Struthio camelus: one gene and its partners. The main gene of each other region encodes a partner of the protein of the gene in region 2 in a complex. Links are inferred from orthologs where the notes say so. Each region holds a gene or a part of one and is shown on either strand. Other genes may lie near its edges.

Region 1 (7,119 bases), about 22 Mb from region 2:
AGCAAGATTAAGTCAAAAAGAAAATGTAGCTTTTGTGCAATTCTGGATTCAGAAACAACACTAGAACGCAGCTGATCAAAAGAGCTAAAAGACTGCACCAGCCAGAAGGCATGCACTGAATCAGATATCCAGAATTTGTAATAGAAATGAATTGAAAAGGGACTTCCCACAGTAACGTTCATAATCGGGCTACAGTTGAACGTGTCAGATCCACAGAAACCAGTAAAGGCTCTCCAGAATACTAGATTTGTCCAGTTAGATAGCTTTAAAGACGTTACAACTGTACCTTGAAAAGACCAGCATTTGTACTTTCCTATCTTGTCAGTTTAAGAATAGTTTTAACTTTCAGATATCCACTGATTTTCACAGGAAAAGTCTCTTTAGTAACCACTGAAAGGTCAATGCCAAACAAGGGATTTTGTTTCAGTTTTCACATATTCTTGTCTCAGTTTAACAGAGAGGGTTCACAAGATCGAGGGGAAAAAACATTCAATAACGAACCTGCTTGTTCAACAAATTAAGCTATGCCCCGCTTAGACTGGCAGAATATCTGCTATTAATAATTTCAACCTTTGCATTTTCCCCCGTAAAAATAAACTCACACACTAGGCGATCAAATGAAGCAGTTGCTGTCATCATAATATCATTACTGACTGTTCTCAATATACTTTTCAGTAACACCAGAATTAAATGAGTGAAATTATCACAGTAAACCAAATGTCACCAAATGCCTGACATAACCCATTATTTGTAAACAAAAGAGTCTGCTGCATGAAATGTTTCAGAAATACCGGTGTCCTTGCTGGAATTTTGTACTGTAAGTCCTAACTAAATTTGGCGTAGGTGATAAATGTGCAAGCTGGCCTTTCCAATGGAGGCTGTAATTCTGGTGCTTGAATCGAACCCTCCCGATGGCTACTCAAAATTATTGCAGGAAAGGCATTTTCTCATCTGCCCTTATCCGTTTGACTTCTTTCCGTACTGAGCCAAACGCAGATTGTTCTTCTTTTTGTTTTCCTAAGAATCTTTATCATTTTTGTCAGCCTCTGAATGGGATTTTTTACGTAGTCAGTGTCCTCATTTGTTACTCTAGATGCCGTTCAAATGTGCCTCCAGGGCCCATTTGGTACCTTGTAATATTTCAGGGACAAAAATTTTCACTGTGTCTGCCTATGTTTTACATAGAGTAGATTTGGAAGTGTTACAAAGGCAAGCAATTAACTGAATACCAAATGGAACTACAAGCCTACCACAGATCTCGTAACAACGGCCTATTAAAGCATAATAAAACCAAAAATACATGCTGAGAAAACCGTCCGTACGTTAGCAAATACACAACTTCTTTATAAACTGTGATGACAGTGACAGAAAAAGAACAGTACAGTGTTGTTGCACCAATACACATTACTTGTGTTGTACGAGAACGTGTGTGCCCATAAATTTTGTATGTGAATATAACAAGCATATGTGTAATGCAACAGATCCCACAGATACTGTAAATGTATATGCTTTGGGTGGGAGGGTAGATAAAGAAGATGAGTGGGCAGTATACAGAATAGAGAGAGATTTATTTTGTGGACAAATGAGATATAGATGCCACAGGAAGATAGAGAAAGCAATGAACTGAGTGACAGACTGATGAAGGAAAGGAGAGATGGGCAGATAGACAAGAGAGAGCTAATTTGCAGAGTGATGGTGTTAACGGCCAGATGTGCAAAGTTCACAGACACAGCGGTTGCCTGCATAAACGGATGGGAAGCTGGGCTGAAGGGATCCAGTTGACACGTAACTGCAATGGCCGGATCGGACAGAGATGGCCGATACTGCGGAGGGATGGATGGCACAGTTTGTAAACGAATGGGTGGACAGAGAGGGGTAGACATGTCGTGGGCAGGAAGCTGCACGCAGTGGACAGACAGGCAAGGCCAACACTGCGAACAAAAGCTAAATAAATGGGAAATGAATGGAAAGGGAGGAAAGGCGAAGGAACGTCTCAACAGACGGACGCATGCAACGAACCAGATGAACGTGCAGGGCAGACAGACGAGGCGAGGGATGCAGGAGATGGAGTGGGACAGGCGGAGGAGGGACAGTGGGACGCACAGGGCCTGAAGGCAAGCAGCGGGTGCAGCTAGCGGGGTTGCGGGGGAGAAGGCAGGGACAAGGAGGCCAGGTGACAGCTGGAGTTGCAGGGTGCAGCTGGGCACAGGGGTGCACATGGAGAGGACGGAAAGGGGCAGGCAGGGCCAGGGCAAGGTGGTGCAGGGCAGAAGGGAGAGCGGGAGAGGTGGGGGACATGCAGACGAGCCCAGCAGCCGGGTGCCCACAGCGAGCAGGGGGACAGGCCGCGGGAACAGGCAAGGACGGGCAAGGGAACGGCCGGGGTCAGGCAGGGGGACAGGCAGAGCGCGCAGGCAGGGTTCGCAGGGGGACAGGCAGGGTCAGCGGGGCGACGGACAGGGAAAGGAAAGGAGCCGGCAAGGCGGGCAGGGGGTCGGGCAGGGTGACTGCCAGGGGTCGGGCAGGAGGATGGTCGGGGGACAGGCAGGGAGGGTGGCAGGGCAGACAGAGGACAAGCAGGAAAGGCAGGGGAAGAGGCAAGACGGGCAGGGGCACGGGCAGGGGGACAGGCGGGACACGGAGGGGACAGGCAAGAGGGGCAGGGCGGCGCCCACCTGTCTCGGCGAAGCTGATGATCTCGGAGACGGGGTCGTGGGCCGGGGGCCCGGCGCTCGCCTGCCCGTCCAGGCTGGGGATCTCCACGCGGCCGTCCTCCCGCACCTTGCCGGCGTGCAGCTTGCGCAGCGCCGTGACCATGGCCGCCTTGGGCACGGCGTGCGTGATGTTGGGCCGGTCCCGCATCTGCAGCCGGCTCAGGATGTGCCTCTTCACCGCCTCCAGGAAATCCCCGTCCACCTTGCCCGGCTCCTCGGGCCGCCGGAAGCCGCAGGAGGTGCATGTGTCCTGCGGCGAGCCGCCGGCGGGGGCCGGCGGGGTCGGGGTGGCCTCGGCGCCCAGCAGCAGCAGCAGCAGCCCGCAGGCCAGCAGCGCGGCCAGCACCCCCCGGCGAGCCGCCCCGTCCATGGCGGAGGAGCGGGGGGCCGAGCTGGGGGCCGCCGCGATGCGCCGCAGGGAGCCCGTCTGCAGGCAGCGCCGCTCCGTGCGCTCCGCGGCGCGGAGGGGGCGGTGGCAGCCAAGCCGGGGGGCCGCAACCGCTCCGCGGCGGGGGGGAGCCGGGCCGCAGGGAGGGGGCGGCCGGCCGAGCGGTGCGCGCCGCCGGGGGGGAGGCTGCCCACGCAGGCACCGAGGGCTAAGCCGGGGTGGGGGGGGGGCGGCGGGCTGGCGCGCACGGCGAGCCCGGCTCCACGGGGGAGGGGGCCGGCAGCAGGTGAGGGGGTGGCTGCGGCGGCCGGGGAGAAGGGCGGGGGCAGCGGCGGGCGAGCCGGGAGGCTGCGAGGGGAGCCGGGCAGGCAGGGAGGAGGCGCCGCCGAGCTGCCCCGGGAGCCCGGCGCCGCTTCACAGGGGCATCCCCGAGCGCCGCCGCTCCTGGTCCATCGCTCGCTTCGCCAGCGTCCGGGCGGGCCGCCGAGAGCCGCTCCTCAGTCCGGCGTCATGGAGGGGGATCGGGGAGATAAACGGAGCAGATTTATACACAATCCAATTTATAGCCGGGGAAGAGGGGGGGGGGAAGAAATGCTGCTTGTACCCCCCCGCCCACTCCGCCCCCGCAAGACAACAATCCACAGGCCGTGGGTGCAGGTCGGCTCCGCTCCTCTCCGGCTCGGTAGTTTGCCCTTAGCGCCTGCTGCTTCTCAACGTGCGATCAAAGTTGACCTGGAGCATAATTTGGGAGGAGAGGCGCGGGGAGGTGGGGGGTAGCGGAGAGGAGGTATACGGCTAGCAGATCCACGGTTGCGAGTCTTCTTCACCCCGCCAGGTTATTATTAGAGATATGCTTTATTTGAATATCAGCGCGGAGGGTGCGGAGTCCGGCGCGGATGCTGCGGCGGGGTCCCGGGCGCGGCCCCGCGCGGCCGCCGAGCGCGGAGTCGGCGCGGTCCCGGTGCTCCCAGGAGTAGCTGCACGGATCCACTCGGTCAGACCAGCTCTTCGGCTCGCTCCCTCGCTCGCTCTTTTTAAACAGTATCTCCCTTGTTGATGGTTTGGGGTATTATTATTATTATTATTATGATTATTATTAAGTGTGATTTTTGTTGTTTTTGTTGTTGTTGTTGCTGCTGCTGCTGCTCCAGTTAATCTGTCTGTCTCTCTCCCTCTCTCTTTCCGCGTCTTTTTGATCTTTCGCTCGCCTTGTGCTGGCTTGAACGCTGTGTTTTGTTTTGTTTTGTTTTTAACGCGTCTGATGTTCTCTCGGATCCGCAGTGGAAGGTCTCGGGGAAGCGGCTTGCTCCTCGCTTATCTTCCTCTGATCTCCTCCTGCTAATTTTCCCCCCCTGCAAAATCACGACATTGTGGCACTTTCTACTGAAACTTTTATACAGGAGTTAAAACCACGTGGGAACTCCAACCTATAACAGAGACGCCATGGGTTCCTCACTATTTAGGAGATTAAGTTAAGTCTTTTGCCCCCTGGGCTATTACAGTAACTTCCCGATGTGGAAATATTAACTATGCTGTTTCTTTAACTCCCCCCGTCCCCTCCCTCCCTGGCGGTTCCTCAAACACACCCACCGCGCACCGCGCCCGGCCGCGGCCCGGCACCCGGGCGGCGCGCACGGACCGCGCACGGACGGAGGCAGCCCTCGGTGCGCCCCTTTTACGCCCTTGACAGAAGAAGTCATTAGAAAGTTTACCGGCGGGTTGGCTTTGCGACGGGGTGGGTTTTTGTTTGTTTGTTTGTCTGAACGGGGCGGGTGCCGGGCATTGTGTTTTCCGTGGGGCAGGAGGGGTGCGCAGCCCGGCGGGAGGCGGGCGGTCCCGGGGGGGGGGGGCGGCTCCGCGGCGAGGCAGCCGCCGGGGCTGCGCGGAGCGGAGATAACGGGAACATCGCGCTGCCCGCGGCGGGGGAGCGCGTTTTCCTCCCGCTGCTGCGTGGGGGCCGCCCCAGCGCCGTGGGGGGGGGGGGGCGCAGGGCTGCGGTCCGCCCCCGCAGCGAGGTCAGGAGAGGTTTCCCCCGACGCCCGGCCGCCCGGGGCAGAGCCGGGGGCAGCCCGCCCGCTTCTCGCCGGACCCGGTCCGCGGGCGCTGCAGCCAGCCGCGCTGCGCGCCCCTCCGCGGCACAGCGCCCTCGCACCCCCAGCACCGCGCAGGCAGGCCGCGGCCAGGCGTCCCCCGCGCCGTCCCCTTCCGCCGGCGCGGCCCGCGGGGGCGGACGCGGCGCTCGGGGAGCCGCGGCCGCTGCGCGCTACCCCGCGGCCGCTGCGCGCCGCCGCCGGCGGGGAAGCCTGGGCAAAGGGCGCCCCCTCTGGGCCGCGCCGCGAGCGGGCGGCGGCGCCGCGCAGAGCCGCGCAGCGCCGCGCCGCGGGCGCCGGGGAAGCGGGTCGGGAGCCGCGTTGCAGTCCGCGGCCGCGGAGGCTGAGCGGGCGGAGCGCCGCGCCGGAGCCCGGCCTGCGGCAGGAGCGGACCCGGCGCCGCGGAGGCTCCGCTGCAGCCTGCGCGGCGCGGCGCGGGGGGCGAAGGGCGAGGGCGGGGGCAAAGGCTGAGGGGCGCTGCCGGGGCGGGGGGCAGCGCCCCTGCGCTGCATCGCGCCGGGCACCCGCGGCCGCGCCGCTGCTGCTGCAGCCGTTGGTGGGAGCCGGGTCGGGTTTGCCTAGGAAAGGGGAGATGCACGCCCAAATCTGCGCTCCGAATTAAGCAAAGGAGCAGCTTTGGCCTGAGCCTCCCACTGCCCAGGTGTGTGCTCAGGCAGCCGAGCCACTATTTCTGATTACGTGGGTTTTTCCAACGAACGAAAATATAATTTACAGAATGAAAACAAATCTAAAAACCTTCATCTTTTTTTCATTGCGCCGAATCCTGGTTTTCAAGGGGCAGAACCCGGACGCACACGTTTTCTGCATGACACCAAAGAAGCCCCTTAAACTTTTGCTGTGCATTTCAGTTTTTAAAAGAAGAATAAAACTTACGTATCTCTCGACTGCACACACATGTAGTGGTGAGCTCTGCTGTTACCAATGCAAGCAAGACAAGAGCATAAAGAGAGTCAGCTGGAGGATCAGATTGTTAGCGTGATTTAAGAATTTAAGGGACAAATGCTACTCCATATTATCATGTATTTTTTTTCTTGTTTTGTACTGCAAAAGCACAGACAAGCATTTAATGCTGTTGTTCCAAATCATATTACAATCCCAATCTGATTGTTTGTGTTGTTTTTAATACAAACACAATCTAATTTCATACATGGCACCGTAAATCAAAGTAAATTCTCTGTATCAGTGCAGCTACCCTGATGTGAGATCAGATTTAGATACAGTATTTCCTCCCTGCCATTAACAGGTTTTGAATGGAAAGCCTAGAATGTAAAAAAAGAAATAAGGCTAAAAATCCAATCACTCTGACATCCTGTAAGCTAATAAGAGCACGTGAATGCAACAAGCTTAGTACTTCACAGTAATTAATTTGACAGCAAAGAGCTAACAAGAAAACAACAGGCAGAGCAGTGATGACTGGTTCACAGAGGTCACTGTCAAACAAGAAATAGGTGCAAACACAGTCCTTCTCCCTTTGAAAACAACCACTTTCATTGCCCCAGTGAAAATGAAACGCCAAAGAGGCAAAAATCATGTCTTCAGTGGAGATAATGAAACTGGGAAGGTATTTCTGAGCAGGGTAGAGATTTTCTTTTTTAAATATAGTAATCTTTTTGGGGGGTGGGGGTTAGCTAAGGACTTTTTGCATATTCAAATATTGAGAGGCTTATCTTATATAGCAATTACTAACAAACAAATATGCCAATAAATGCTATTGTTGTTTAAAGTCTGTCCAACGCAATTCTGAAGGCAGCTCTCAAACAATGGACTATCTCTGGCTTTCCTCCTAGAAGAGAACTCAAGCAAACCTGAGATGCTTTCAGGCAGAAAACCCTACAGGGAAAGCAGACAGGGTTAACAGAAGGAAATGTGCCATTTGGTTTCTAATCTTGCTCAGAGAGCATGGCCT
Region 2 (7,246 bases):
TTTCTTTTTTTGAAGGCTGGATAGTTGCTGCTCTTTTCTGTGTTTCAGAGACAAAGGGGGAAGAAAAAAAAAAAAAAAAGACATAATAGTCTTCAGACGGGCTTTTTTGAGTCCAAAGGCCAAAAGTAACGTCTGGCACAGATTATCTGACTGGACTAAAGGGGAAACGAGTTCCCTCCGAGGCAGGAATTCAGTCTGCCGTTTCCTTAAAGCTGTGGGTCGGCTGGCGAGAGCGAGAGCCTGCTCTGCCACGTGCTGCCGCCACCGGAGGCTTGATGGGTTTATCTCCCATCTTGGCAGGACAGACAGGGCTGTCGCTGGTGGTGCTTTTCCTTCCTGTGAAGAAAACCGGAAAGTTTCCCTCACAAAGGATTTTTCCAAGGTTTTGGGCGGTCGTTTCCCCCGTGGGCTGCGATGCCCCCATCCCGGCTATTTGCCGCCTTGGTGTCCCTCTTTGGAGGAGTCGGTTTCCTCAAGGCGAAGCCGAGCCCCGGAAAGGGGATGGAAACCAACCCCCTCCGTTCAGACCAGGTGACGGTGGCGCTGGAAAATCTGTCCGCCCTAGAGAAAGGCACTTCTGGATCCAGATCACTCCTGAAGTCCCCGGGGTGTTCACTATTTCTCCTTTAATGACGGTCTTCCCATAGCCACCCTCGTTTTTGTGACCTTTCACTCCCGGGGGAATAATGGGGGCGTCTCGGTGCGACACCCCGGATTTGAAGCCGATGGGAAAAATCTGTGTGAAATAGGTAGCCCGATACCTACAATGGCAACAGCGTCTGTGTGTGATTACTTGTTTAGCTGCAATGGCTGAAGCTTTTCGCTGCTAACTCAGCAGACTGCAAGGAGCAGACAGTATTGTCTTTTTGGCTTGTTCTGGCTGCAGTTCAGGATGTTAATAATAATCTGGAGAGCTATGTAAGCCTGGGATGGCAGCTATCGGCAAGCCCCTCTCTCTCGATGCGCTGCTGCAGGAGGTGAGATCAGGGAAGATGATCTTGCTGACAGGTTCCTAATTTAGCAATGAGTGGCAGGCGTTTGCAGCGGAGACCCACACCAAATCCATTATTTATGAAGATACTGCCTGGGGTCCAGGATGGGAGTATTTATTTGTAGGAAAGTCTGTGAACATCTTGATTGTTATTGTTTTAAGGTTTGTTTATGCATCACCGTCAACGCTATGGGGATGCTTTGTTTTTAAAGAAACAAAAAATCTCTTAAAAACAAAGCACCGGGCAGTGTTGTTGTCCTCTCTCCCCAGCATTTATGACAGCATTGAGAGAAACACCCTGGGCAGGCTGATGGGCAGCCAAGTAAAATTTATAACTTATTTTAAAGAGATTTGTTGACATCATGAAAGGCCTTGTCAAAAAGAGCACTCCCCCGAGTCCTAACAACGATAATGGCTGTATGGCGTCAGCACTGAAATACTCTTGGATAACAGCGAACCTATCCCGAGAAATATTTGCAATGTTCCTGAAAATTGTGTTTTCTAAAAAGGAATAGGGCAGGTTGTTTTGGTTTTCTTAATGCTTTGATTTTATTTTCCACTGATTGGAATATTCACTTGGAAGCACAAAAGTAAGATTTTCTATATGCTGGGTAATTAAAAAAAAAAAGTGTTGTTTAAAGGAGACACTGCTAACAAGGACACGTGTAATTACTGTCATGTACAATCTTGAATTTGCAAGTGATACCAATATGTTTGCATGTGCATCGGTATGACAGCAGGAAATATCTGAGGTATACATCCGCCTTATTTCCCACTTCAGCGTCTCACTCGAGCATGGAAGCAGCGTAAAGGGCAGCTCCAGTAAACTGGATGCGGCCGTGTCATTTAAAGCTCCCTCGCCCCGGGGCAAGACAGACGTGCCCTGCAGCGGAGGTGGTGCACATCAGCCTGACATCTCAGGGAGCTCGCAAACGCGGTAGCCTGGCGCCGGCGTCTCTGCCCTCCTCGTGCCCTGCCTTGAACGCGCGCCCTCGTCCTGCCTGCTTGCGAGCACCGCGGATGATAGCTGCGAAAGGGTAAGGCCTGTTCTCCTATCCCTATTTTTTTTTTTTACAGTCTTTTCAAATTAAGTTCAATCTTGTTGTTTCACGGGGCTAAGTTCTTCCTGGTGGAAATACAGTGCTTCAGCAGAGCATCTTCCTTTGAAATCTTGGTAAGTTTTAGGAGGTTTTCTTGGCCTTCTCTCTCCTATCCTTGTTTGGACCAACGCTGAATATTTAAGTTGCTGCAGCTTGGTAAGTTTTCATTATTCTAAGTATTTTTCTGTCGGTCTCATTTGGCATCGCTGCACATTAGGCTAATGAAATGCTAGCATACAGTTAAAACAATATCAAAGAAAGAATGGTAAATATGCCTTTGTCCAAGCAGATAGCAATAAGTGAGCCTGGGAATGACAGTTTAGGTCTCTGGTTTCCTCCCACCACTGTGGGAAAAGGAAGCTGCCTCTGTGCTTAGACAGCAGCAACTGCTTCCTGCGTCTGCGTGGCAAAAGGGGCGTTGGTGCATCCTGGGGCCGGAGAACCGGGGCTTCGGCAGCCCCACGGCTCCGGCGCCCACGCTGCACAGGAAGGCACCTGGCCCCGGGCAGGGGCAACGTCTTCCAAAAACTCCTCAGGGTTAGGTAGGGAAGGAGGCAAAAGCCTTGCAAGGTGCTGGGGACGTGGGTCCAGGAGATCAGACCAAGGCCCTCACCCAGGTGAGGGCTCAAGCTCAAGCGAAGCAGATCCACAGCTGCGGTGAGGTCTTTTGCAGGCCCATGCATCTTCTGGGTCAGGGCCTGTGTTTGTCTGAAGCTGTGAGGAAATTACTGTATTAAAATTGGCCTAAGCCTTGTTTCTTCTTTACAGAGAAACAAAACACAACAAAAACCCAATCCGCTCTCTGGAGAGAAAAAAAGAAAAGTAAGTATTTTAAGGCATAAAACTATTTTATGTGATTCCTTGTGAAGAAGTGCCAATATTAATTAACGGTCCAAAACTACAGCTATTAAAACCAGAGGGAATTTTGTCTTTACTTCAGGATGAGCCAGTTTCAATACATGTCATAAACAATTACTGTAATTTTCTTTTAACCATCCAAACAGTGAAAGTGCTGCGTAACCCGCCTGGTTACGTTCTTGTTTTCCACGAACAGAGTCGATCTGGCTGCTTTCACGGGCGGAAAGCGCGTTGCACAGTTAGGTGTCTGCACCAAACTAAACGCTGGATTTTCCGCCCCGCGGAAAATACTCCCGTGTCGGTGTGCTGTCCTCTCTCGGGGGCAAAACCTGTTGTTTGGCTGGTTTCTAAAGGTTATTTCTTGACAGTTCACGTTCCCCACACAAGAGGAAGGATATGGTGGTTAGCATGTGGTTACAATTCTGGCGAGTGGCAATACCAGTTACCATCTAGGATTCCCTCTGTCATCCTCCCCCATCCCCCCCCCCCCAAATATCCACGGTAAATCTGCATGGATTAGGAGTAAAAACAGGGTGACCAGCTCTTAAAAATCGCGGGTAGCTGTCAGCCGCGCGACCTTCAGCTCCGACGTTAGCAAGGTCAGGCCACGCCGCGTCCGGCCGGTGTAGCACAGGTCGTGCTAGGCTTGATTTTAATTATTCTGTTAATGATTCTGCTGCGAAGGCGAGCACCAGGCCTCAAAAAGCAGCAACGCAGCGTAACAACATGGAGGCGCGGGCGGGGCGCTGCGGGGCCTTTCTCTACCTGCCCGGAGGCCTACCTCTATGGTCGGCGCGAAAGGGGGGGGCGGGGGCGGGGCCCGGGCGGTGCGCGGCGCGGCCGTTGGGGAGGGGGCGGGGCCGGGGCGGGGCGCCCGCGGGCCGGGCGCCGAGACTGGCAGTTGGAGCGACTCCCCTTTGTGTCTGGTGCGGGAGCCGTTGGGGCCGTTGGGGCGGGAGGGGGCGCGAGCCGCGGCGGGGGCCGCGCGGCGCAGCGGAGGCGGCGGCGGCGGCGCCCTCCCCGGGGCTGGGAAGGAAGGAGGCGGCGCGGAGCTGCCCCTCGCCGGCGGTGGCAGCGCGGAGAGCCGCGGGGAGGAGGAGGAGGGAGCTCGCGCCTCGCTCGCCGCTGGAGCCGCCGAGGAGCGGCCTCGCCGCCGTCGGGGCGGCCGCGGGGGCAGGGGCGCGCGGCCGAGCCCGCAGATGGGCCGCGGTGCCGCCGCGGCCCTCGCCGTCAGCGCGGCCGCCTCCCGCCTGGCCGCGCAGCGCCTCGGCGCGTCTCTCCTTCCCCAGGCGCGGAGCGGAGGGAGGAAGGAAGAGCGAGACCTTTAACTGGGCGGGATGCCCCTCTGCCTCGAGCCGTTGGAGCTTGCTGGCGGCGTCCTGAGGCGAGCGTGAGGCGGCTGCTAGAACTGACGGTCGTTAGACGTTTCCCCGCGCCTGGATATGTTCGCTCCTACACCCGGCTGTTTCTTTGATATCGTGAAGCTGCGTGGGAAATAAGCTCGGTTCCCAGAGCGAATCGCGAGAATCGCCCCTTCCCTGGGAGAAGGGAAATGCCTTTGGGCTTGCAGGCAGAAACGGGCTTTCCCCCCGTTCCCCAGAAGAAGCGTTGCCGCTTCCCGAGACATGAAGGCAGCCTGGTGTAATGGAGTAAGAGCAGCAGCGGCCCCTCTCCTCTGCCGTTTGCCCTTCCAGACTGGATTGTAAACCGGGAGAGTTCAGCAAGGCTGTTTGAAAAAAGAGAGAGAGAGGAGAAAAAAAAAAGAGGAAATTCCTCTTGTCGTTTTTATTCTGTTATTTTTCCTCCTTCTGCCTCGGCCCTTGGCTTCCCCAGGTATGACTGCCTCACTGCAGCACCTTTTGCTGGTGCTCCTGCTCTCCAGTGCCACCCTGCTGCTCAGCACTGCGGCTGGTAAGTAGCCGGGGGGGGGGTACTGAACTAGCCATTTTGGCACGGGGAAGGGGGTGGGGTCCGCCGGCATTTGCACCCGTCTGGGTCTGCTGAAGGAGCGGCGTGCATGCATGCATGCATGTCAGCCGCCGAGCCCGAGGAAAGTTCCTCAATCCCGATACCTTAACCGTCTTTGAAAATAAAATCTGCTTTATTGTGTAAACGAGCTCGACCTGCGTTCGAGATGTGTGTTTTGTCTGGATCCGCTTCCCTTGTCTGATAACTTGCTTCAATTTTGGAAAAAAATATATAATCTTTTTGTTTTGCATACCTAGCCCTTTGTAAGGTAAAGCAGGGATTTTTAATATATATTTTAATCGGCAGCGGAGCTGTGCCTGTTTTGCTGTGGGATCTTTTGGGCACAGCCATTTTTAATTTTATCAGCATCGCTGCTTTTAGGGGCCTTAAACATGTGCTGCAGTTTTATGACAGACTTACTAGGACACATTTCTTTTCTTGGGGGAGAAGTTTGAAACAAAAACGTGGCGATTTCTATTGTCATTTGTGATTACGGAATAGTAACAAAAACGCTGTTGAAGAATACTGAAAGATCTTCAAGTCAGTGTTCTTTTTTAACAGTGACTTAGAGGCGTGTGTTCTAAGAGCATCCTTATGCTTATTTGGGGGCGTTTAGGTCCGCTTTTGATGTTGCTTGGAGGCTCAGTGTTAGATACATAGGATATTTGAACATGATATTGGAAGAGAGATCAGTATTGCACTGGCATCCTTTGGTTTTCTGTCATGGTGACTGATGAGCACGTAGGAGCTTTCTGAGTGTTACCAGCTTTGTTAGGCGCTAGGACTGATTCTTCTCAGTGTATATGTTTTCAGCAGTTCTGGAAGACTCTTAGGATTTTGGCATCTTTTAATAATCAGGAGCTAATTTTGAATGCCCACTCTTGTCAGCATTGTTTTTGCAATCTGATGTGCCTAGTTCATAGATGAATCCTTATGGGAAAATTGCTATATCTTGCTAAGGTGACCTAATAAGATGATGGTAGTTTCTGTATTACATTCTAGTGATTTGTTTTAATTGAATTATTATCAGTGTTGAAAATACTCGGTGTCATTATTTGGAAAAGCCTGTCCATTAGACATGTTTAGGTAGTTTCTTTATTGCTCTGACAGTCCCTGATTTCCTCACTTCTGCTTTTTTTAAGAAGTCTCTTTGGGGAAGATATTAAAATGAAATGATTGACTTTGCCTACATCAGCCTGACCTTTGACTGTTGATATTTTAGACTGATACCTGCTCTATCTGTCTGTGATAATTTCTTCAGAGTTTTTTTTTTTTGGGGGGGGGGGCGTTTTTTGAAAAAGGGACTTTTGAAGGTCGAAAGCCTTTGTATTAAAGTGTGGATGAGTCAAGAACGCCAAGTATCTAACCTTTTCTCTTAAATATAATTTTTAAAAAGCGTGGGCTTTTTTTCAGTTTGGAAAAACTTCAGTGAATTGGTAATTCCTTTATTCTGATGAGGGAGAAGGGCTACTGAAGGAGAGGCAGTGCCGATTTGAACCAGGCCAAGGGCTGGGCAGGTGCAGTACGAGCTCAGTTGGACGGTTTTGCCCGTTCACCTCAATCCTGACCTGTCAACAGCATTCCTATTATTTCAGTTCTGGTTTTGTTTTGTAAAAAGAGTATTAATGATGCCAGCTTGTTTAGTTGTCTTGTGAACAGAAACCGGTTTTCCCATTGTGATTTATTTCTTAATTGTGAAATTGTAACAATCTGTGTTATAAAGCCTGGGTCATAATCCTCTGTAAGAGTAATTATATGAATGATTTGAGCTTTACTTACAGTCAACCATTAGTAACTTTAAGTTTATACTACATTTCAGAAACAAATGGCTATACATGGGGAAGCTACACTAATGTGTAATTCTGCCCTTTTATGTTCATGAAAGAGCCAACACTATTTCTTCTCTTCCCCACCCCTCCCCCTGAAGTATGAACTGTATACTCACATCACGGTGAAAATGCTGGCTTTATAGCTTTGAAAACCTCGGTTAACTGCTACTTCTCATTAGTGACTAGATCCTGTGTCTCAGCACTATATAAAATTGAGTGTTGATAAACGCAAAGAGGGAAAGTACTTGCATAGATTGGTAAATTTCCGTCTCAGGAAGAACGCTGAGACATCCTTGAGGTAGCTCACCAAAGCCCTGCACTCAAAATATGGTCAGGAAAGGAAGGCTGCTGAAGTGCATGAAGAAAGAAAATCATGTAGTGGGGCTGTTGATGACTGTTTCGCTCATAATCTGGAGCATGAATGAAGATGGGATGTGGTTCTTCCTTCACCTTGGCAATCAAAGCTATAAAGAATTAACTTTAGATTCAGATTTTATTTT
Region 3 (7,106 bases), on a different chromosome or scaffold from region 2:
TTGTTTGCCTCACCATCCATTCATAAACAAAAAAACAAAGAGCAATTCTGGTTGCTTCTCTCTTCCCATCAACTGATGAAGGTGGGAGTTGAATATGCTCCAGGGTGGGATGGACTGCAGGCTAAAAGGCAGTGCTACTCAAGCACAGGAGTGCTTCAGCCATAACCTCGCAACGGGAAGAAACCTTTGCTATTTCCTAACTCTCAGCATGCTAAAGCAAGTCTGCAGTCATTACAGACGATAGTAGGGTGGAGAAATGCCACCGGACCATCTAGAAGATGAGCTCAAGTAATTCACCAGGAAGGAGGGGAAGGCCACACCATCTGTAAGAGGCTGGGTGAGTGCTAGCAGGGAGCGAGAAGTGTTCATTTATAAGTCAGGATGTGGCTTTGCTCTTTAGCTAGGAAACCCATAGGGTGAAATCTCTCTTACAGTTATTGGTGCACCCCTGACAGGGTCAGGAAGGGTGATCTGGAGTCTATAGGAAAAAAAAAATTACCTTAAGACCTTTATTCAAGTTTTAAGAAATGGTAGGCGATTATAGTCCCATTTGCAATAGAGATATTATGCTCCATGGGTTAAAACGACTAGCCGCTTTCAGCTGTGCAGCATGTTATATTTCTATAATCTCATTACAGTTAAAACAAAGTTAATAAAGAATTTAATGGATAATAATGAAATAAAGTTACTGCCAATTTTCAATAAGCAGCTGAATTGAAAACTTCATGATATGTTCTGTTCCTACTGTCTTGATAATTGAAAGTAATTCACTTTCTCTACAAAAAAAACTCCTCAGGCATGAAATGAATGGTTCTTAGCTTCATGGACTTTCAAGACAGATAAAAAACAGTAAGTGCAACAGTCCCTGTAACTGTATGCATTTATGAAGGCGATGTGTTAACAAGTCTCACCTTGCATCTGCTGTTTTGGATTAGAAACGAGAGGAACACAGAAACGACAGAAAGTTACACTAAGCTTACCCTATCTGGTGCAGACTTCTGCAGCAATGAAAAAGCCATGGAACATCTCCGTAATGTTTACAGAAAGGCACAGAATCGTGAATTGCTGCATGCGTTACCGGCCATAGGTCAGTCTGTACCATTTTCAGTACTGTAAACCTGGAACCATTTCAGTCTTGCCAGTGAAATGGCTGCAGATTTACCTCAGTAAACCACACCGCATTTTGTTCTTTAGCATATTGTACTTGCCAAACTTTATCTGATTTATTTCTCCGGAATAGTGGAAATATGAGAAAAGAACAGTATTTGTTTCTGCATATTTCTTCATTTATGCTGATGATCAGTTACAGACAAGGCTGTTCAGATGAGTAACAGTTCACCAGCAGGTGTAACTGGTTTGCTGTCAATCCTTCAATAAATGTAATGTCATATTACTACACCGCAGAAAAAGAATATGTAAAGAAGATTTAAACTGCAAGGCAGGGCCTCTTCAAACCAGAAACGTGTTGCTGGTAAAGGGTGCCCAGGCCTGACAGAAGTGCAGAACAGTTCAGCACTGCTGGATCCTGTCTTGGCACCTTACTGCATTGCCAAAGCAAAATGACTGGTACGCAGCCTTCTCCTGATAGTTTGTCATCTTGAATTTGTGAATGTCAGAAAAAAGTAATAATCAGCATTATAATTCATTAATTACACTGATGAGGGATGAGAGAAGATCCACAGCAGTTTGAATAGTTGCACGTACCTCCGAGTAGTTAAAAAGAATCAAAGCACTTGTATTTGCAAAGTGGAATATTTCAGGTTTGGAAATGATTACTTGAAAAATACTTTTAACATATTACCTGTATTGGTGCAAATAGGTACTGACACAAAAACATTTGAATGTCAGCACTGAAATGTTATATTTTCCTCATTAAACTGAGGGAAAATGTTGAAGCAGAAACATAGAGAGAACCACCTAAGCTCACAACTGGTCTTTTTTCAGTTCTTCTTCTTCTTCTTCTTCTTTTTTTTTTTAATAGGAAATATTCTAGTCTGCCAAAGTAAAACCTAAAGTTTATCCAAATTCAGCTTCATGTATTTCTATGTATTTGCTGGGCTATGCTCAGACATCAAAGGAAGAAAACTTTACAAACCCCATGAGGATCAATAGCGGAAGGATAGCCATATGGAAAGCCATATACTGCACCTTTGAACGGCATGTGAAAATATTTCTCCTCTTAATTTCAAATTTGACTTAAGGTATCCATCTAAAAATCAACCAGCTTCTTGCAAATGATATGTGTGATTACAAGGATAATGAAAACACACCCAAATTACGCGTAGTGCTGTACAGATATAAAAGAAACATCTTCTTCCCTCAAAACCTTACAATCTCAAAAGCAACGGAAAAAGGATCTATCTCACAAAAAGTGGGATCTGCATAAAATTTGTACATGTGGTGTTAGTTGCCTATTTCCAATGGCTTCTTCACTGAAAGGCCTTTTTCCCCCTAGTGCTGTTCATGCTCCATACCTGGTAAATATTATTTCACGCTGACTGTAAGAGTACCCTTTCCGATTTAGTTCTCCTAGAGAAGCACATTTCTTACCTTCATTTTTGAAGCTCCTAATAATATTTGCAGATGGCATAGACGTCCTATCGGTGGCAAACTTGTTGTACAGCTCTAGCATGTACTCTGGTGGGTCCACCTTGGCCGTTTCGTGCAGGGGAATGTCAGAGAGGTTCAATGTCTTCAGGAACTCATTTTTCATATTCTGAAGCAGTGTGTTGAAATCAACACCATCCTGCTCGGAGAGGACCTCGTCGAAAAGTGGCACGTCTTCCTCCAAGGAAGAGTGCTCCAAGCTCAGGATGGGACTGCAAGAGGCAAGGTGAACCAAGAGAGAGAGGAGAGCCCACAGCTGAAGAGCTACAGAATCCATGACTTCGCTCTAGCCTCCAACCACGCTCAACAGGCTTTAGCTCTCATGTGGGCTAAGTGGCGGTTTTATCCCCTGGGTTGTACGCGGCTTGTGTCACAGAGAGATGACAAGTTTGGAAGCTCTTGTCTTGAAACTTGTGATCCGTCCTGTCTCTCTCCCCCTGCCCCCTCCCTTTTTCTTCACCCTTCCCCCTCCCCAAAACCAGGTCTCGGTAATTGGATATGGCTTGCTCTCTTCTATGGTCGCCTTGCCTCTCTTATCTCGTGGAGTGTAAGCTGTTCACCAGATTCGTCGCTATCTCGCAATCCCCTTTCCCTTAATGAGCATTTTGTAAACATTCTGCGCTAGGACACTAGGAGATAGGACAAGTTTCTCCTCGGAGAGGAATTGCCCTTTCTTTCTGCCTCCTGGTAGCCGACTTTCTCTGGCACGTATGACCAACTTTTTGCCGCGCAGATTTCAAGCTAGTGCGTAAATTCTACAGAGCCTCTATCCAAACCTATGAATTCTGCACCAAGAGCAAGGAAGAGCCCCTTTAAAACAACAGAACCGCCCATTGTAAAACTATTGTAGAGCTCAATCTTTATATTTTACTTACAAAGAAACTTCATTGGGATAAAGTCCGTTCTTCTGTGCTCGTACAGCATCTAGCACACGAGAAGAGCTCCAGGCACTGCCACAATGTTGGGGTCACAAGGCCCTGAATGCAGAGGAGCAGATAAGCTCAATATATTTGGGTGAGGAGGATCTCCCACATTGCAACTATGAAACTGTGCTTTGCGAGGGCTCCACTGGAAAAAGCCTTTTGAACAGAAAGTGAGCACAAGTCAGGGAAGAGCAGAACACGGCTTTTAAAGTTTGGCTTCGATTCCTTCTGTGCAGACACCGCTCACCTGCACTGGCACCACAGAATTTAGTGGTAAAGTGCAAGTAATAAGTACTTTTTGCTGAGTTTATTTTTGCTACAGAGCCCTCTTTCCTGATCTGAACATTAACACTAGCTGTCTGAGCTGAATAGGCTCAGTGCTGTAGGCCATATAAATGCTCAGAAACAGAGGGAGGACTGCAATATTTGCAAATGGTTCCTAAAATCTTTATTTTCTTCTGTACCTTATTTATCTGATTTGGCAGGTTACACTTACTCGTCATTTAATCACAGCACCCCCCAGTCAGATTGTCTAAAAATGACTGACAATACACACAGGCCCACAGACTACTCTTCACAACTCACCTTTGCATCACTTAAAATGGCTCAGAGGTATTAGGTGGGTAATGAGGGAACGTTTTTGCAAAAAAGACATGCTAAAACTGTTTAGTAGCACTTTGCTGTTAGAACATGCAAATTTCAACAAAATGTGAGCCTCATACAAGCAAAGAATCTCTTTTCATTAGCACTGCTGAGTTTCTCTCTGCAAGCACTACAGAGCTTAACTCAAAGAGGAAACCTCCACAGATCTGCTGAGTTTTCTGGACTCTGCTTCTCCATTATGGCTAAGCACGTCCGGCCATTTGTTAGCACAACTCTATAACTTTCTGGATTTTTTTTTTTCACAAATGTTAACATACATGTCTGTGAAAATAATGAGTAGTATTAATGCCACAGAGCCAGGCATCAGCCAGTTTAAAAGCCAGCTTTTAAAACTTGTTTCATTCAACAACTCTTCTTCTGCTAAATAGGGAGAACTTGACAATAAAAGCTAAACTCATTATCAAGGTCTCTGCTATTGCTACAGTACATTGGAAGTGGTATTTGCGCTTAGAAAGACTAATTTAGATCTCAGTGTGGATTTCACAGTTACCTGTGCAAGCTTATCTATAAATCCTCTGCAGCCTTATCAAAGACTCATCCTATGACTCCTGTGGCTTTCCAGAGCTAAGCACAGAAAAACTTAGGGAAATTTTGGAGCTGAATTCAGGTCACTTTTATTCATTAACTTAGAAAAGCACAATCTTCTTTTTGTCGGTGATTCATCACCTCACTACGCTTAACTAAGGACCTTCCATAGGGAAATGAGACTAACCTTGAGAATGGGGAGAAAAGACTGCAGGGTGCGTAGCCTTAACTCTTCCGCAACACAATAACTGGCTCCTCTAAAGCAAGGTCTTTGGCCTGGCTTTGGGCAGGTAGTAGATTTGCAGTAAGAGCATAGTCCCTACAGAAATGGTTTCAAAAGGTCATTTGTATGCTTGAATATTTATTTCAGAAATGCACTGACTTCATATATAAAAGCCCATATTTTTAAAATTAAGGAGGTAAGCACCTTGTAAGAGCTACTGCCTGTTGGAAGGCAACCGGTGCTGAAACTTCTCAGCGCTTCACAGCCTTATCCTTAGCGCTTGCTTGTAGCTGTTTCTTCTTCTCAAACGGGAATAAGGGCCCGAATGCATAGGCAGCAGGCATGAAAATATGCCTTGCAGAGCTTGTAAACACTGGGATGTAGAGTACTGCATGGCTTCCTTCTGAGGGTTTTGGGTTTGCTACGAGATTTAGAGGTAAAGGTTTTGATTTTAAAGTTTTAGAGTGTTTGCTCTGAGATTTTTAGTTGAATCTCCTCTCTCACTACGAGCGCACTGGCTATTTTGAGGACTGCATCTGGCCCTTAATCACACATTGAGTCAGATTCTCCTCTTTGTTACTCTGGTGTTAAACATATAAACAATTTTAGAGTCAGAGGAGTTTTTCCAGGTTCACTCCTGTTTAACATAGATTAAAATTTAATCAGCTGCGCAACTTCAGCTTGCTGGGTGACAAAACTGAACGGCTTTACTTTAACTGCCGTGACATAAGCAGAGCTGACGCTGCCTTGGAGCAGAGGCCGGACTAGTGACCTCTCTAAGTTCTGCTAACTCCAGACGTATTTTCTACGATTCTGTAATTTCACACCCTGCAGACATAAATACATAAGTAAAAACTGCACACAGTGATCTGACATAAATTTTCTAATCCACAAATATGTCATCTTGATTCAGTGGCTCAGTAGGAACTCAATTACTGCTCAGACATTCCAGCTCTTTGCATTTCCACTCTTGTTTTGATAACTCCATGAACAATAGCATACTAAAGGGCAATGCAGCCTGCTGTGTTACATACAAACCAGCTTTTGCTGCATTTCTTAGCTTATTCAGTTTAGAGCCTGCTGGGGATTTGCCAGATGAGCAGTACCCATAGAGTATATCTGATATAAAAGCAGCTTCCTGTTTCCTTAGGTTGTAGGCTGATGAATTTAACACATGCATATTTTTTGCTGAATTAAAATGTTTTAACAGAAGGGTTTTATTTCATGTCACTGAAATGAAGAGGTTTGGCCTTTCCCTGGAAAGGAAACTGCCCTCAAGAAATCTATGCTAAACAGATTAACTGAGCCAGCTGGAGAAGGAACATTAATAATCATTACCGTTTAATTGTTATCAGATTTATAACATAAATGATGAGCCCATTTCATTAGAAATAAATGATGTATCAAGCAGGCAGAGTTGTAGAAAGGGCTCTTGGCCATCATTCCTATGAAGTTTGTGTTTATTTCTGCTGTGAATTTGCAGTTTTACACAGGAAAACGTAGCTAATGAGAATCTGAGCTTCTGCAGTGCTCCTGCAACATTCAGCACACATACAACATTGTTTAATTCCTGTTTTGCCTTTCCTGTTGAAGTCGGAAAATGTTCTTCTGGTGGAGGTGGCCTTATAGGTTGGACACTCTCCATTTGTATGTCCCAGTGAGAACTGGAGGGATAAAAAACGCCCAGAGAGCAAAGAGAGGCCCTTTCCCATCCACGGCACTGAGCAGATCAGGCAGGAACGTGAGTGCAGTTGATGCCAGCGGTAGCCGAGGGTACGAAGCAACTCCAGGGAACAGTTCAGCTGTCGAAAGGGTCAGCCCCAAAGGTTGTGCTGCTCCAAAATAGCCTCTAATCTCAGGCACCCCACAACTTCCTCTGAGCCGATGCCTTCGCGGCTTCTTCCGTCAAGAGGCAGCAGAAGAGCATGGGTTTGAGCAGGAATGTGTGAAGCAAGCCCAGTGCTGAAAGGCTAGAAAGTGAAACAGGGCTTTACGAAGTGTCAAGGTCGACAATATACAATGATTGAAAGGGTGTGACGCTCCTCTGAGTAAGAGGAAGTGGGGAAAAAGAATGTGAAGTGTTTTTTAAGCATCCTCACCCTTCTCTAGTCTGATTTTTTCAGGGAGGAACACCTGTTCTCATTAACACACTCAGAACAGATTGG

Evidence for each region.
Region 1: the proteins of BMPR2 (region 2) and INHBB are in contact, whole or in part, in a crystal structure (PDB 7U5O), measured with the Homo sapiens proteins. The link is inferred for Struthio camelus from reciprocal best matches to the Homo sapiens genes BMPR2 and INHBB. Residues at the interface, in NP_001195.2 of Homo sapiens: Tyr40, Tyr67, Leu69, Val80, Lys81, Trp85, Ser86, His87, Ile88, Gly89, Asp90, Gln92, Ile108, Gln109, Tyr113, Phe115; in NP_002184.2 of Homo sapiens: Phe309, Asn318, Asp319, Ile322, Ala323, Pro324, Gly326, Tyr327, Tyr328, Thr379, Met380, Ser381, Met382, Leu383, Phe385, Asp386, Asn390, Ile391, Val392, Lys393, Asp395, Ile400.
Region 3: the proteins of BMPR2 (region 2) and BMP10 are in contact, whole or in part, in a crystal structure (PDB 7PPA), measured with the Homo sapiens proteins. The link is inferred for Struthio camelus from reciprocal best matches to the Homo sapiens genes BMPR2 and BMP10. Residues at the interface, in NP_001195.2 of Homo sapiens: Asp38, Ser64, Tyr67, Leu69, Lys81, Cys84, Trp85, Ser86, Ile88, Gly89, Asp90, Pro91, Gln92, Glu93, Thr103, Thr104, Pro105, Pro106, Ile108, Tyr113, Phe115; in NP_055297.1 of Homo sapiens: Tyr329, Lys333, Asp338, Ser339, Trp340, Ile342, Ala343, Pro344, Pro345, Gly346, Tyr347, Glu348, Glu395, Pro396, Ile397, Ser398, Ile399, Leu400, Leu402, Val407, Tyr409, Phe411, Ala417.

The regions. Positions count from the first base shown.
Region 1 is NC_090947.1:32,194,652-32,201,770, reverse strand, and holds the start of INHBB (inhibin beta B chain), read right to left. Parts: upstream 3,085-7,119; coding exon 2,676-3,084; intron 1-2,675. UniProt on the Homo sapiens protein: Inhibins and activins inhibit and activate, respectively, the secretion of follitropin by the pituitary gland.
Region 2 is NC_090947.1:9,922,710-9,929,955, reverse strand, and holds the start of BMPR2 (bone morphogenetic protein receptor type-2), read left to right. Parts: upstream 1-4,178; 5' UTR 4,179-4,784; coding exon 4,785-4,860; intron 4,861-7,246. UniProt on the Homo sapiens protein: On ligand binding, forms a receptor complex consisting of two type II and two type I transmembrane serine/threonine kinases.
Region 3 is NC_090968.1:2,685,115-2,692,220, forward strand, and holds the start of BMP10 (bone morphogenetic protein 10), read right to left. Parts: upstream 3,036-7,106; 5' UTR 2,885-3,035; coding exon 2,551-2,884; intron 1-2,550. UniProt on the Homo sapiens protein: Required for maintaining the proliferative activity of embryonic cardiomyocytes by preventing premature activation of the negative cell cycle regulator CDKN1C/p57KIP and maintaining the required expression levels of cardiogenic factors such as MEF2C and NKX2-5.